3 linked regions of the Arabidopsis thaliana genome follow. The protein of the gene in region 1 interacts with the protein of each later gene in a pairwise test. Each region holds a gene or a part of one and is shown on either strand. Other genes may lie near its edges.

The links.
Region 2: the proteins of AT3G03330 (region 1) and PPT2 interact in a protein complementation assay, tested with the Arabidopsis thaliana proteins (one large-scale study listed by BioGRID).
Region 3: the proteins of AT3G03330 (region 1) and AT3G19100 interact in a protein complementation assay, tested with the Arabidopsis thaliana proteins (one large-scale study listed by BioGRID).

Annotation. Positions count from the first base shown.
Region 1 is NC_003074.8:782,807-788,160, reverse strand, and holds AT3G03330 (NAD(P)-binding Rossmann-fold superfamily protein), read left to right. Parts: upstream 1-1,956; 5' UTR 1,957-2,012; coding exon 2,013-2,088; intron 2,089-2,164; coding exon 2,165-2,220; intron 2,221-2,323; coding exon 2,324-2,357; intron 2,358-2,445; coding exon 2,446-2,544; intron 2,545-2,642; coding exon 2,643-2,791; intron 2,792-2,896; coding exon 2,897-2,935; intron 2,936-3,101; coding exon 3,102-3,194; intron 3,195-3,510; coding exon 3,511-3,609; intron 3,610-3,824; coding exon 3,825-3,926; intron 3,927-4,114; coding exon 4,115-4,198; intron 4,199-4,277; coding exon 4,278-4,343; intron 4,344-4,499; coding exon 4,500-4,589; 3' UTR 4,590-4,829; downstream 4,830-5,354. Other genes in the region: UNE6 (LUC7 related protein), read right to left, coding at 153-300, 396-475, 593-656, 747-915, 1,235-1,287, 1,576-1,956; AT3G03320 (RNA-binding ASCH domain protein), read right to left, coding at 4,872-4,934, 5,027-5,145, 5,240-5,327.
Region 2 is NC_003074.8:216,297-221,099, forward strand, and holds PPT2 (phosphoenolpyruvate (pep)/phosphate translocator 2), read right to left. Parts: upstream 2,841-4,803; 5' UTR 2,561-2,840; coding exon 2,264-2,560; intron 2,153-2,263; coding exon 2,030-2,152; intron 1,962-2,029; coding exon 1,809-1,961; intron 1,701-1,808; coding exon 1,615-1,700; intron 1,514-1,614; coding exon 1,432-1,513; intron 1,345-1,431; coding exon 1,225-1,344; intron 1,141-1,224; coding exon 1,063-1,140; intron 956-1,062; coding exon 826-955; intron 734-825; coding exon 651-733; 3' UTR 509-650; downstream 1-508. Other genes in the region: AT3G01560 (proline-rich receptor-like kinase, putative (DUF1421)), read left to right, coding at 3,588-3,896, 4,017-4,298, 4,467-4,803. UniProt on the Arabidopsis thaliana protein: Phosphoenolpyruvate/phosphate translocator that transports phosphoenolpyruvate (PEP), 2-phosphoglycerate and 3-phosphoglycerate.
Region 3 is NC_003074.8:6,603,686-6,609,803, reverse strand, and holds AT3G19100 (Protein kinase superfamily protein), read right to left. Parts: upstream 4,509-6,118; 5' UTR 4,124-4,508; coding exon 3,578-4,123; intron 2,902-3,577; coding exon 2,771-2,901; intron 2,634-2,770; coding exon 2,592-2,633; intron 2,486-2,591; coding exon 2,377-2,485; intron 2,275-2,376; coding exon 1,899-2,274; intron 1,792-1,898; coding exon 1,679-1,791; intron 1,572-1,678; coding exon 1,464-1,571; intron 1,385-1,463; coding exon 1,322-1,384; intron 1,228-1,321; coding exon 1,060-1,227; intron 968-1,059; coding exon 824-967; 3' UTR 509-823; downstream 1-508. Other genes in the region: AT3G19120 (PIF / Ping-Pong family of plant transposase), read left to right, coding at 1-126; LARP6c (RNA-binding protein), read right to left, coding at 6,095-6,118.

The DNA.
Region 1 (5,354 bases):
GGAAATCTTAGATTAGCCAGTAGAAATTCCCAGCCGGCAGGGAATACTAGACCGTGGATATTTAAGCAGTTTCAACTTTCCACTACAATGAGCTCTAAATTAAGATGACCATAGACAAATAACCAAACACAAATTAGGGTTATTTCCCTTACCAAGATCTTCTGCCTTCTTCAGTTTCTCATTTATCATTTCTTGAGTGCGAGGATCCGGTGGAGGTAATTCGGAAGATGGTGGTTGAGCTGGAACGGGCTGTGGCAAGGATGCTCTATCTTTGTTGAAGGCTTCCAACAGCAACACCGCCTACATGAAAAAACAAGACAAAGGACTTTCTAGTTGACATAGGTAAAGTAAAAAAGCAAAAATGCTCATTAAGCCAATAGCGAAAGCAAATTCACCTGTTGGTCAGCTCTCTTGGTCCTCATCTCTTCGACTAACTCAAGAGCTCTAATCTTAAGATCCATTTTGCCTTCAAGATCTGCAAAGTGACATCAGAACTTTGAAAGACTACCAATAACCAGTCAAGAATTATTTGCAAAAACAAAGCCGAAACAGCAAAGTAATATTTGCTGGGCAATATTCTTTTAATTTTTACCGTGGATATCTGCTTCCTTCATCTTCTCTTTGATTTTCTCCGATAACTCGAGAATTTCAGGCGACTGCAGTTAAACAATGTAATGATGATAAACAAACCTGAGTGTTGCAAACTTAGAAGACACATAAACCAAATTTCAAAATCAAATAATCACCTGAGTGACTTCAGAGACAGAAATGGCAATGGCAGCTTTGGCGTCCTCTTCTTGAAGACGCTTAAGGGCCCTACCAATCTTCCTATCACACTCAACGATAAGCCTGTCTATGGCATCTTCCAATTCCCTGTCGTAGTTATCAACACCTTTTGCCCTTGCTTCTCGGTATCTAAGGGCGAGTTAAAGCAACACAGGAGTGGAAAGAGAACAACATGCCACTGTAGAATCAAACTAAACATAACAATGACACCAACTTTTTTTTGTAACTAATCTGCATAGGCTAGTCTTATATGCACTATCCATTCATTTAACGTATTATCTCAAGCAAAAACCAGGAAGAAGAGCAAAAACATGAGCAAAAAACAGATATCAACCCAATTAGTAAGTATGTTCAAATGTCAAATTCAATTGAAAGAGGCCATGGAAGTAGGCGGCCTTCATGGTAACCGTATAAGGTAAATACTAAACTTACTGTAAACAAAGGATACTCTTTCCGAAGCTGCAAAGAGTGCACCTTTGGGCATGGTCCCATATCCATTTTCTGATAACAACAGAAATGTAAAAGGAGCATCAGTTATTAGGCAAACCAAAGTAGCCATGCACTAAATTACTAGACAGATACTCATAGAAAACAGTGAAGCGATACAAGTTTCAGAATTCAGATATACTCTATAAGATACAAAACTGCACACTGTATCAAGTAACCAAATACCAGTTATCAATTCGAGCTAAAGCAGAAACACAAAAGATTAGCTCAAAAGTGAAATTAGGGTTTTTTTATTCAAAGAGACAACTAAGTAATAAACTGAAAAAATATAAAGGTAAGCACCGTCAATTGGAAGAGATCGTGAGGGCAGAGACCAGACAAGTAAAGACGACACACATCACGGTCGTAGTATTTGCGATTCACCTCCTGAACGTCGCCGTTTCGGTTAGCTCCCATGAGCACATCAAGCTGCTTCCTTATAGCGTCCATAGTCGTTCTCTCTCTCTCTCTCTCTCTCTCTCTCTCTCTCTCTCTCTCTCTCTCTCTCTCTTTCCTCGTCCTCTCTGCAAACAGAGATTTGGGGTTTTTTGATCGAAAGACAACACAATGATAGGAACAATGGCATTCGGATGTAATAAGATTTTGGTATATAAGATTAATTGCATACAGGTCCCTATATATTAATAATTTATGTTCTACTCCTACATTTATTTCTGTCAACATATTTTGCCCACGGGTAAGAAGACTTGGTCTCTCGCTGGTTGCTTCAATCCGAGAAAATGCTGACTCTACTCTTCTTCTCTCTCGGAGCGCTTCTTCTTATCGTTCTGCTCTTCAAATTTGCATTCGCCGATGGTAATAACTCTGACGATTTCTAATGCAATGTTTAACTTCTTTTATGTATAAAAGGATTGATCTTTGCTTTGTGTAGGAGATTTTACCTTGATTTCGAAGAAGCATGTGAAGCGTGAGGCCATACAAGGCAAGGTACTGGATTGATAGAGGAAAAAATGGAATTTAGTGGGATTGATTTGAGTTTTCGATTATTTCAATCTCTGAGCATTAATTCAGATTTCTTGGTTTTGCTCAGGTCGTCTGGATCACAGGGGCTAGCCGTGGAATTGGTAACGAATGTTTTCTTAGGATTATATATCTGTGAAGAGATAACTTTTATTGTGGCTGCTTACTCTTCATGTTTATGATTGGATTCAGGTGAAATTCTTGCTAAACAGTTTGCAAGTTTAGATGCCAAGCTTATTCTCTCTGCTAGGAATAAAGCTGAACTGGATCGGGTTAAGAGTGAGCTTAAAGGTACTTTCTTACACAATGAATCAAAGAAAGCTCTCCAGTTTACAATTGTGAGCTTTTTGTTGACACGTGATGTAACTGACTCTGTATTCTTCTTCTAGGTAAATTTGCACCAGAAGATGTCAAGGTTTTGCCTTTAGATTTAGCTAGCGGCGAAGAGTCACTCAAACATGTTGTAGAGCAAGCAGTGTCGCTTTTCCCTGGAGCTGGTGTTGATTATTTGGTTCACAATGCTGCCTTTGAGCGTCCGGTAAGTAATTTCCTTGCTAAAGTTTTGTATCTACTCAATAGAGAGTCTTAGGCTTTAGATATGTTTACTCAAGCGGGTGTCATCATCATACTCTTTTCCTTGCAGAAATCCAAGGCATCGGATGCAAGTGAGGAAACTCTCAAGGTACTAAAATTAATTGCGTAAAATTCGTAGGCAAGATTATTAATTCTTGAGGAAACTCTCAAGGTATTTTTTGTTTCTATTGCCATAGTTAGCCTGTAACAATTAGGACATGGGTGATTTTGATATTTCTTTCTGACATATGGTTAATCTATGATTTTGTGTGCAGACTACATTCGATGTTAATGTCTTTGGGACGATATCTCTGACAAAGTTGGTAGCTCCTCATATGCTAAAACAAGGAGGGGGTCATTTTGTTGTGGTACGTGGAGACTACTGGGGGATAGTTTTTGTTAATTTTGTGGAATTATATTTAAGGATTGAGCTTCATATCATAGTTTATATATGTGGATAACATTGCGTTTTATATGTTAGTTAATTGTTGTAATCACAGTATTGAATCTTGACTATATATGTTAAATCTGAGGATACTAGGGTATATAGACAATTTAAGGTTTCGTTCAGGTTAGTATTTACCATAGCTTGAATGTTATGGAACTCAGGCTATGATCATGCACTAATTGTCCATTTTATTGGGTTAAATGTCATGAGTAATAATTCACGTCAATTATGCTCAGATAAGCAGTGCTGCAGGAAAGGTACCATCACCTGGACAGGCTATATATTCTGCTTCAAAACATGCTCTTCATGGCTACTTCCACAGCTTGCGTTCTGAGGTATGTTAGAAGTAAAGAAACTGTTGTGCTTGCTAATTAGTTGGCAGAAATTGACTTATTGAAATCACAAGTGAAAATTTACAGCTACTCCTGAGTTTTAATAAGCTTCATATGTTGATTCGCTATGTTTTTTCATTTACATTTTATTGTTGAAAATAGCACAATCAATTACAAAAACTAACAGTTAGTTTACAATCATCTGTGCATGGTTTCAGTTCTGTCAGAAGGGAATCAAGGTTACCGTCGTTTGTCCTGGTCCAATAGAAACCTGGAATGGTACAGGAACATCAACTTCGGAAGACAGCAAGTCTCCTGAGGTTGGTACTTATTATGATTGTGATTATTTGATTAAGTTGTGAGCAGCAAGTACTTCTCCCATTGCTTGATTCATTATTTCCTTGTAGATACACGTAGAATCATATTCTTTGTCAACATTTGGAGATTCTAACTTCAGCTCCTTGCTCAACTTGATTTCTCTCAAGCATCTATTCTCTTTGCTACGCAGAAACGTGTGTCATCTGAACGATGTGCAGAGCTGACTATAATCGCTGCATCTCATAACTTGAAGGAAGCTTGGATTTCATATCAGGTACATCTTTATAAATATTGCATATGTGATACTCGGTTTAGATGTCTGATATATAAGTTTCTTTTTCACTGTTTTTCAGCCAGTACTACTCGTGATGTATCTAGTGCAGTACATGCCTTCCCTTGGCTTCTGGCTCATGGACAAGGTACTTTGCTCATCCATTAATTTTCTTCAAAAGTTACCGGTATGAGATGTCGTTTTGTTTCCATTATAATGTGACAAACACATCTGACAAAGAGAAAACAGGGGCAGTTATTACTCTGTTGAAAGCAGTCTTTTGATTAAAATGAACGGCTTGCAGGTTGGAGGAAAGCGTGTGGAGGTCGCGGAAAAGAAAGGCAACACATACTCGTGGGATTTACTGTTCGGGAAGAAGACTAAAACAAACTGAAGCTGATTCTCTAGAAGATACACATAGATGTGGTTGGTTGAGCCTTAGTCCGTAAATGTGGTTGGTGTTTGTTTGCTAGTTTGATTGTTAAATAACTACCAAAGCGTCGAAAAATGTTTTGTTGCCTTGTGAGGTGCTCAATAAGTAAGAAAAGATGTGATCTTCTGTGATTTAGCTACTCGTACACACAAACAAACACAAATTTAACATCATCCGAGTGTAGAGAAATCAAAACCCTTCAAATTGAGTAGTTTCTCTGCGCACAAAGGTTTTCAGATGCAGCTACGAGGTAACCCCAGCTGTGTATTCATCCAACAGGCTTTTGATCCCACTGGACTTCAGTTCCTACAAAAGAAGAACCGAAAAGAAAGCTATATGATGCATACATTGAAGACTAACGAAAGCTTCTGGAGTTTGACTTGCTGCCAGAAACTCACAGACAATACTCCTGCCAAAGCTGCAGAAGGCTGATTAGCTGGTTTTGCAACACGAATAGCTACAACACCGTTCATTCTTTCCTTCTCTTCAGAATAAAAGTTTCGGTAAACTTGAACACCTGCAGATAGAACATCATTTCAGGTTAGAACAAAGTCCACATAGCAAAAGAGACGCTTTCCAAACGTTCTATGTTATGGTAAAGATCTTCAAACCTTCTTCTATACTTTCAACTCCAGGAAGAACTTTGGCAAGACCCTCCACTTTCAGCATTTCTGAGAATGAAGTATAACGGTGAACGTCCTGCCCTCATCAAAATGGTTAGTAACA
Region 2 (4,803 bases), 570 kb from region 1:
AACAATAAAAAAAAAAACTAACACGTAATAAAAGGATTCGATCAGAAATCAGAATTAAACACGACCAAACCGACGCAATCTTAGAGAGAAACTAGAAATTGAAACAGAGAGCTTAAATACCAAATTCTAGGAATCTAAGTCAGGATTGAGGAATTTTGTCAACAGATAAACGCGTACCTGATTTGATATTCAAGAGTCGAGTTTGAATGTGGAAAACGAACCAGCAGATTGGATTAAAGACTCGGGTCAAATCTGTGAACTCGAGCTTTTGAGATTCCCTTTTTTGGTTTCCCTCTCTATAACAATCTACGCCACAAGAAGAAGCGTAGAAGCAAGAGAGAGAAAGTTAGACCAAAAGCAAGGATGTCCAACTTTAGACCGTCTCTGTTAGTTAGGTTTATAAAACCATCCATCGTCGCAACAAAAATATCTGCACCTTAATGAGCCGCCTCCTTCTTTTGGGCCCTTTTGGGCCACTCCAATTTTATTCCTAGGCCCATTATATAATTTCCATGTAAAGAATAGAATTATTTAATGAGATTAGTTGAATTTAACAAAAGTTAATAGTGTCATGTAAAAACGACATGGATGAACAAAAATATCAACATTTTTCGCATAAATAATAAACTAAGAGCTTCTATATACAAAATTCAAGACATTTTTGGATTTGGTTTGACTTGGACTCGTTTGGCTCTGCTGTACAAATATACTCCAGCTAGTGCAGTCGCGGTACCTGTTTATTTAACAAGTGATTATATATTGCTTCAATAAAATGAACAAGTGTAACAAATCCTTTACTAATATATACTACTAGTAGTTGTTTACCTATAGAGTTAAGAGGTGAGACTGGAGTTTTGAAGAAAAGAATGGATGATGTAATAACCACCACACGCTTCACGCAGTTCCCTACAGAGTGTGTTACTGGAGACACCATCTCCAATATCATATACGATACCTACAACAACAACCCCAATTTTTATGTGTTGATTAGAAGCCTAACACTAACCGACTTTACAAAATTCAGTACAGTTTTTCTGAAACGGAGGAACTAGACGGACCAACCTGTTGGTAGCTATGCAAGCAAACACCAGCAAGTAGAGACATGATGCAAAACTCTTTTACCGACAAACCCTGGCTTGTCTGTCAAGCAACCACATACAAACACACATTAGTTCTTTCTCTTTTAGATCATCTAGCTATATCGGTTTATGCTTTTCCACTTACTGCTACTTGTAAATGCGAAGGAGTAACCTTGAACCCATCGATGAGGATTGCTAAAGGAACCAGTAAGATAAAGGAGATAATGGTTATTATAGAGAAAAGGTTGATGTTGTCCAAAGCGTCCTGTTTCAATATACAAACATTAATAGATTTCGATTACTAGTTTCTTTCTTGAGATCATAAGGATAACTTATATTCAAACTCTTTTACCTTTCCAACCATGAATTTTTTACTGAGGACATTGCGTGATTGATTCGTCACATTAGAAGCCATTGCACTGCAGAAACCAATCCTGGTTTATCCCAATACCATGAATTAATCAAATCAATTAAAACTTCATCAAAAGTTTATCAAGAATACTATTTTTTTTGTTCTTGTTCTTGTTGTTCATACCAATTGAAAGAAGCTTCTGTGAAAGATGCTAAAGAGACTCCAGCGACAATAGGTAACAACGAACAAACAATCCACAGACTCGGCCACTGGACATTAATCAAAATTTCAAAGATTATGTCTGAAAATATAACTCTCTTGTATAATCTAAGGTTATAGATTAAGTCTGAAACAGAGCGTATCTTTGTTTTGCTTACCTCACCGAGCAAGAGAACAGAAAGCAAGACGGTGAAGAAAGGCTCCATTGCTTTGATAGTGTGGGTGAAAGAGACATTTACTCTTCCTAAGCTCACATTTGTTAACAAGTTCCCTAACGTGTGAGCTACTGCTAGTTGTACGATCACCGTAAACTGGAGAGGATTACAATTGAATGAATCTCTCTGTTTTTAGGGTTTGACGGAATCAATATTTGATTTACCTGAGAAGGAGAAAATTTGGGGCGTGGATGGAGTTTAAGGAGCCACATTATAGCAATCATCAACGTTCCACACCCTAATTGAAATGCTGTTACAGTCGCTGGATATGGATAAACCCTAAGTACCTGGATCGATGAATGAACAAGTTTCATACTTGTATGAAGACTGATAATAGGTTCGAGTACTGCTTCTTGCATTGAAATGGACTGTTTAATTAAATGAAGCAAAGAAGGAACCTGTTTGTTGAAAATGTTGTAGTAGATATTGAGAAGGTACCAAACTCCAAACATGCCTCCTAGCTTCAACCCTTTAACCAAACTTCCAGATTCCAAATCTCCTCCTTCCACATTCTCCGGAACTGTAGCTGACTTGAGCTTGAAGCCATTAAATCTAAGGTTCGGTCTCCAAGGATAAGAGTTAGAAGATGAAAAAGCTCTGCTTCTTCTGCTCAACGCTGATTCAGGAGTAGACTTGGCAAGGAACAATGGAGATGGAAGTCTTGGATTTGGATTTAGAAATGTGAGAGCGAACATAATTTTTTCCTCTTATCAGATGCTCCAAGATGTGCATAAATCCTCCGGCATTTGTTGGAATTTCTCACAAGTAACCGACTCTTGCTAACTTTTTCTTCTTCCTCTATTGGTAAGAGTTATGTTACATGAGTCTACCTCCTCATTTTCATGTAAGAAGAAAAAAGTTTGTTTTGTTTTTGGATATACTGCAAACTTGATATTAGTATTATTTAGAAGAGTTGTCTTTATTATGTGACTTTTCTCTCGTTCTACTATCTGAATGTTTTTGAGTATGATAAAAATAACTCACATGCCGATGCCGACATTTTTTTCAATATAACATTGGCTCGATTTTATTTATCTTTCCTCATAAGAGCCAGTGGTATTTGCCGGTATTGTTTCTTCTCATGTTCTCCATTCCATGTGTGTTCTGTAAATAATGTTATGGAAATGATTTGACATACTTGGTCACTCATTTCTTTACAAAGGGGCCGTGGTTTTCTTCGTTTATAATAATATCAAAAAGTTGGTAACGCTATAAATAATTATTTAAAATAAAGTTTACGTACGAACATGACAAATTACTGACCACAACACCAATTGATTTTTAGTGTGGAATTTGAAAATGTCAGGGGAGAATTGTATGGATGATATGAAAGGGGCCGCGTTGAAACATGTGGATGTTGTATTGTATGCTCCTGAGTCCACCCTTTTCTTTCCGTGTTATTTCATACTATTACAAATAAGGTTGGTCCCATTGCTTTGATCACATTATTGATTATACCATTTACTTATTATGTCAGTGTTGGTACAGGTCATTGATCACAATTTGGGCTTTAAACGGAGAGGATGGAAACTGAATTCTAAATACATTTCGGCCCATTTAGGGTCCATAACCTTCTACGCCAATCAGAAGGTACGTCGACATGAGCAACTTGGTCAATTTTATGACATAAATAAAATAAAAATAAAAAAATAAAAATCGATCTGAGGGGTTTTAGAAAGAAAAGAAGAAATTCGGGAGTCGGAGAAATTGTCGGGTGGATCGATGAATACTTGTCAGTTTATGGATAAGCAGATAATGGATCTATCTTCTTCTTCATCTCTACCTTCCACTGATTTCATCGATCTGATGAACAATCATGACGGCGATGATCACCAGAAGAAGCAGGTGATCGGCGATAATGGATTGGACTCTAAGAAAGAAGTGATCGTTCCTAGCTATGATTTCCATCCCATACGTCCCACCACCGCCGCACGATTGTCTCACTCGGCTTTAGATCTCGCCGGATCCACGACTAGGGTTAATTGGTCCGCCTCTGATTATAAACCCGTTTCCACTACTTCGCCTAACACTGTACTTACTACTACTTCTCGAATCTTCCTCTCTTTTTTTTTTTTGTACATGATTCTACATCATAAGCCTATAAGAGGACTTGTCTATTTCTGATTGATTTGTTTTTTTTTATTCGGCCAGAATTTTGGATCTCTCGATTCTATTGAACCTTCCAAGTTGGTTCCTGACAAGGGTCAAAATGTGTTTAACACGACTATTATGTCCGAGATTATAGATAGGACAATGAAGAAACATACCGATACCTTGCTTCATGTAATGGAAGGTGTTAGTGCACGTCTTTCACAGCTGGAGACCAGAACCCACAACCTCGAGAACCTGGTGGATGATCTCAAAGTTTCTGTTGACAATAGTCACGGCAGCACTGATGGGAAAATGAGACAGCTTAAAAATATCCTTGTAGAGGTAACTTTGCTGATTGCTTTTCGAAACTAGAATTTATAGCTTTTCCTGGCAACTATTGATCTTTTTTATACAGAAATTTTCTCATTTATGAACATGTCTTTTCTTGAACCAGGCTTATAGTACTTTCTGTTGATACTTCAGTTCCTTCTTTATGCGAATGGTGTGCAGGTGCAGAGTGGTGTGCAACTATTGAAGGACAAACAAGAGATTCTCGAAGCTCAGCTTTCAAAGCATCAGGTATCCAACCAGCATGCCAAAACACACTCTTTACACGTTGATCCCACTGCTCAATCGCCCGCTCCAGTCCCTATGCAGCAGTTTCCTCTTACTTCTTTCCCACAGCCACCATCTTCCACTGCTGCTCCTTCCCAGCCACCTTCCTCGCAACTACCACCTCAGCTACCTACGCAGTTTTCTTCTCAACAAGAGCCGTATTGTCCTCCGCCTAGTCATCCTCAACCACCTCCATCAAACCCGCCTCCTTACCAAGCTCCTCAGACCCAAA
Region 3 (6,118 bases), 5.8 Mb from region 1:
AAGGATCCAGATGAAGCTGGAACGCCTGCAAGAGTTTTGGAGAGTGAGAGGCAGTTTTACTATTACGGGGAGAGTTTGAGGCAAGCATTGGCAGAAGATTTACACCAGAGACTCTCCTCGAGGTAAAAGACATGAACAGATCTTGGTCAAAAAATGGAGCTTTCTATCTTTGTTATCATGTAAGAAGCAGATGCTTTCAAGTGTTTAGAACTTTAGATAGCATTGTAGATTCAATCCTCTTGAGAAGAAAGTTTGAGGATTCAGAAATGTTAAAAAGCTGACTTTGTTGCCTAGCCATCCCAACTGTCAGTTTTGTAACTTAGGAATGGGTTTATGGTTTGTTCTGTAACACCTTTTGAGAATGAAATGTATGACTTCTATTGATATGGATTATGGAATCTTGAGAAGCAAGTTTTTCCGAATTTGAAATATTAATAGCTCTCTGTTACTGTAAGTTTTGTGACTTAGGAATGGGTTTTTATGATTTGCTTTGTGGCACATTGTGAATGGAATCTGAATCTTTTTCCTGGAAAAAATGGAGACAGCCAAATGAAAAGAGAAAGGGATGTTCTTAATATCTGTCTTCCATGATTTGGAAGAACACGACTGTGGATTATCATCTTATTATACAACTCTCCAGGCCTGTCGGATTTTTCTGGATACTCTCTTTCTTTGTCGGAACTTAGCATTCTTTTTCTAACACTATAAACATAGGAATGGGTCCTGAAAAAAATTCCAATTCCCAACCCCAATCCACCCATTTGCTTCTTGCAGTTGTATGTTCTTCCTCTTTCGAATCCGTTATAACACCGAGTCACTTTCCTCATCGCGTTTTCGCTAAAGATTGTCGAGTCGAGACACCGTGCAGCAGTTTGACAAAACCCAAGAAACTCAGCTTCCCGTCAGTATGTCTTATCCAGTCATTTAGAATGGTATGAACCGGGATGGATGATCCAACACCAAGTTCCTACAAAACATTTATGTTCCCTTCGTTTAGGAATTAGCTGAATAAATTGTTAAGCATGACAGAAGCAAGTGTCGAATTTCTTATAAACTTACAGAAGCGAGTTCTTCGATGACGATAACTCGGTTTCCATTCATTTCAAATAGCTCATAAGCATGACGAATGCTCTGCTCCCAACAATCAAGAGACTCATGCTGATGAACGCTAATGGAAGCTGCACAAAACTCTTCAAAATCCATCCCTTTGTATTGAAGTCCATTTAACTGTCATTTCCCAACACCAAACTTTCGTTAACCAACCTTGGATTGTATCTTAAACAGATTAAGCAAAAGGACAAGAACAGAAAGGAGACAATACCAATGCAAGAAAGTCCGGGATCCGTGATTCCTTCATTGCTTCTGTTGCATTTGTCGCAAGTGCCTGTCCAACAGAAATAAATCTAGCTTTGAGCTGTTTGCTTTCTACCAGAGAGAGACAGAGAGGAAGAGAAGGCACATACCAGTCTGATGCTATCTAAAGTGATGAGGCCATTTTTGTTGGGTGCTAAGTGTGCAAACTGCGCTTTCAGATAAAGAAGTTCATCGGTAGTTAATGTCTTGGACAGAGCCTGGAGAGAATAAAAGAGTTAGCAAACTAGATACAAAGGTAATAAATATCAAACACATCCTTAAATGTTGTTTGGAAACAGTAAAAAAGGTTAGAAGCAAAATGTACCATCAAAGCAGCTTTGCGCAAAGACGAAGATCTCAAGTATGCTTTGATCTGCTTGAAGATCAGAATATCAAATGGGATATCTATTTTCTTATAACCCGCGATCCAAGGATGCACTGTAAAAACCGGAAAAAAACGTGGAGTAACTTCAACTGGTGATTCATGAAAAGCTAGAAACAGAAGATAAATATAGAAAGATGTGGATATTTTAGAGATTACTGACTCAAAGCTTGAGATGCAGTCATTCTTTTCCGAGGGTCCTTGTACAATAATCTCTTAACAAAATCTTTTGCCTCAAAGGATAACGAAGGCCAAGGAGGTTCATCAAAACTGGGATCAGCTTTTAGAACTGCTCTGAAAATTCCTGATTCAGTTCTTGCCCAAAAAGGACGGCTTCCACATAGGAGAATGTATGCTATGACTCCTATGCTCCATACATCCGCTTCTGTGGTATAAGATCTGTGTAGAACTTCAGGGGCTACGTAATATGCACTTCCCACTATATCATTTAGTCTTTCGTCTGGTCTGACAAAGTCCGATAAGCCAAAATCTATGACTTTCAACATAGAATTCTCCTCCTTGGAAGTGTACAAGAAGTTCTGAAACATGAAAGTGTTTCAAATGTGAGATTGGTATTCAACTAAGACAATATTTCTTTTGGGTTTTGAAAGGAAAAAGCAAAGACAAAAAGTGCGGTTCACCTCTGGTTTTAGATCTCGATGAACAACTCCTTGGAGATGACAGAAAGCTACGACGTTAAGGATCTGTATAAGCACTGCTTTTGCATCATCTTCAGAGTATTTTCCTCCCCTGTAAGAGAAGTAAATTTGAAATAGTTAGACAGCCAATAGAACATCTCTAAGAAGGATCTCTGACCATAAGTTAACAAATGTCATAACAATCTTTAAAAGCAGACCTTGCTAGTATCCTGTCAAGAAGTTCACCACCTCCACATAACCTGAAAGTTGAAAGAAAGTAAATGTTTATTCACAGCTAAACATTTTGAAGTAAGCCAAGTCGGGAAAATAAGAATCTGATAGCTCTCCTAGTAGATTCAACATGACACAGGAATATATAAGCACATGATTGTCTTACTCCATAACGATGTAAACGTTGGCATTGTCCTCGAACGCATCATAGAATTGTACCAAATTTTGATGTCCAGATAACGCCCGCAGTATTTTCACTTCTCTTCTCACATCCTCTATAGATATTGCAGATGTCATCTGCCAAACCAAAGCTGATGAGAAACAGTCTATTGTGGATTAAGCTAACACTAAACCTATCTGTATATTACACCAACTAACTCGATTACATGATTAACTTTCTTAGTCATCAAATAAGGACCATCAAAATTTCAATTGCTTAATGACAATTGACAAAAGCACAAATGTCCATGTTCCAATTTATTGACCAATTTAAAACGTTTAGAAATGTTCACAGAAAAGTCAGCAATGCTAATCTACAACCATTGAAAACTTGGCTATTGAAAAACATGGATGAAACATAAGTGTCATTGACAAACTTCAACCTCATCTGTGTTCGCTATTACTTGTTTTTGTATTAATTTCTATGCGTGAAAGTCTACATACGCTATCAATTTTTTCAAAAAGATGGCTCAAACAAGAGGACAGTAAGCTCGTAGAGAAGAACAGAAACATCTCAAGAGACCGTAATGATCAAATTACAGGTTCATCATGAAGCAAAAGGAGACTATGATGGTTTGTTCTTCTACCTTGAAACAGTTTAACATCTACTAAACAAATCAGACAAGACACACAAAGAATCTTCAATTTGTCAGATATAGCTATCACTACAATGATGAAGCACTTGAGCCAATTGAAGCAGAAAACTTAAGATGGAAACTTGAGAATTTGGAAAAAGTAAAGCTGTAAAAATGACCTTAGATTTTGGGATGACTTTAACAGCAACCTCCTGATCTTTGAGCTCTCCTTTCTTGAACTTAGCAGAGCAAGTATACCCAAAATGCCCTCTCCCAATCTCTTCCCCTAGCTCAATCCTACTCTGTAACTCCTTGGAAAACCCAAATCTTTTATCCAGCCCTACCTCTTCCCTCTCCTCCTCCTCCTTCTGCTGCCTCGCCGCCGGCAGAGCAGCCTCCTTCTTCTCCTTCCTCCGCCGCAGAACATCCCGTATATGTCTCGCCGGTGACGGAGGGTGGAAAGCACGCGCGAGCTGACGGAGAGGAGTGCTGGTAACGCTCTTACTCTCTCCTCCTCCGCCGTCGCGGCTCTTGTTACGGCGGTGCCGGGCGGGACTAGGCGTGTAAAAAGGGAAAAAAGGAGAGGCCTTTACGGCGGGAGATGAACGAACCGGTGATTTCCCGGGATGAGCAGGGGTAGAATCGTCATTTTGGAGAACCGCGTCTTTGGGTGCGTAAGGATTAGGTTTGACGGAGGAGGAAGGTTTGGAAGTACAGCCTCCCATATATCCTTCTCCTTCTTCTTCTTCTTCTCCGGTTCAAAGAAATAAAAAAAGACAGAAGAAGAAGATATGGGAGTTATGTCTGGACTTAAAGAGAATCACAGCAATGACATTGAAGCACTCTGGTTTGGTTTCAATGTAGTTAGAGAGAGACAGAGAGAGAAGAAGTGAGCTGTAGAAGAGAGAGAAGCCACATGGCAGAATCTGCGGGTGGTGAAGTAGCTTCCTTCCATCTGATGAAGAAGGTTAGATTTTAGATGTGGATTGGTCGAAATTTAGTTTGCTTTTTGCCACGTCTTTCTACTTTTGTCCCTCTTTTTTTTTCTTTTTAATTCACAATATGTTTGTTCTTTCTCTAAGCAATACTATACGTTTTCTTTTGCTTTTGTATTTTATCTATCATTATTTTTTGTCTTTTTTTCTTGTCTTTTTTGTTGTTGATATTGTCTTTTTGATATCTTATTGGGAGAATAAAAACGTTTTGAAATGTATTTATGGACGTTATCATTTTCAAAAGTGGGAATTAAAGATAACTTTTAAAGCTCCATCTTGTGATACTACTAAATTAAATATTTTATTACTAATTAACTAGGGAGGTTATAAAAGATACAAATAATATTGCTCTGAAAATCAGGATTTACGTTATATAAATTGATTGGATGTACCTGCTTGACCCTTTTTGAAACATGCTGATGTTGTAACCTAACAACTTCATTGTATCTGGACAGGTCGTATATCAATTTCAATTTTTAATAAGATTTCATCATTTTCAAAATATTTGATCCACATCTCTAAGTTCTTTTTTTCTTTTTCTTACTAACTCTTGATTTGAAAATCTCTCTCCAATACCAATCGTTAAGATCAGTTTAGTTATCATTATTTCTATCTACCAATCGGTACGTAATTTAGTATAGACTATGAAGTTGGTTTACTGATATTGCATGTTTGGTTTCATGTAAATACATGTCCAACAATTTCCATCCTTTGAAGGTTTTCTATTAATTTGGGAGTAAAATTAGGTTTTGTTTCAATTAAAGATTATACATTTATTATAATTAATATGATACTATAAATTAGTTTGTTTGACAACTACCATAGGTTATGAAATTACTAGACAACCTTGGCAAGAACTTTTGTTATCTCAATACTCATTTGTCTTTTCACTTATTTTTAGAAAAAAATTGTACATTGAATCCATTTTTTTTTTTTTTTCACAACATTGAATCCAATCTAAGGTCATTGAAAAATGTCTTTTCAAGTATTGGGTTTTGTAAACAAAATCCAATCGAAAAATGGCAATTATTGTAAACAAAACCCACTTCCTTATATTGATTGAGATGAATAATGGATTCAATAAGTGACTCCGCCTTCTTCAAGGTTGTTAAAGAATTGTCGAATATGTCTTAAAAATTAATATATATCAAACCGGTTAAAAAACCATTTGGGAATGTCAATAGATACAAGTTACTGGAATTAGTTAGGATGCAAGAAGATAGTAACATTTTACCTGATTATTTCCTTTCTTGTGCTTGTGCTTTTTATAAACTATTCATCATGTTTTTTTAGTTTTTCTTTAGAAAGAAAATTGATTAGTTTTCAAGTTTCACCCAATCTTTCAGTCACTTATTCAAATCCATTACTCATCTAAATCAAAACAAAGAGTTGAGAGGGTTGCAATTCTTGTGCTATATAAATTACCCCTTTATTATTCAAATAATAATCTCACAAAAATAAAACATATTAAACATACAGAAAAGAAATTGCCTCAAAAAATGAAAAAAGTTATATAAAACGAACCCTCAAAAAACGTCACCGTGCCTTCACTATCTTCTCCCAAGTCATGTGCCTTGCTTCTTTTGAATGCATCTTAGGAAAACCAATCCATATGTATTATTTGGTTAATTAACTCTAAAATCTTTTACCTCTATTATAATAAATCAATTATAAATAGCAGTCCTTGTGGTGGGTAACTATTTAGAGATTGTTAGGTGAGAGTGA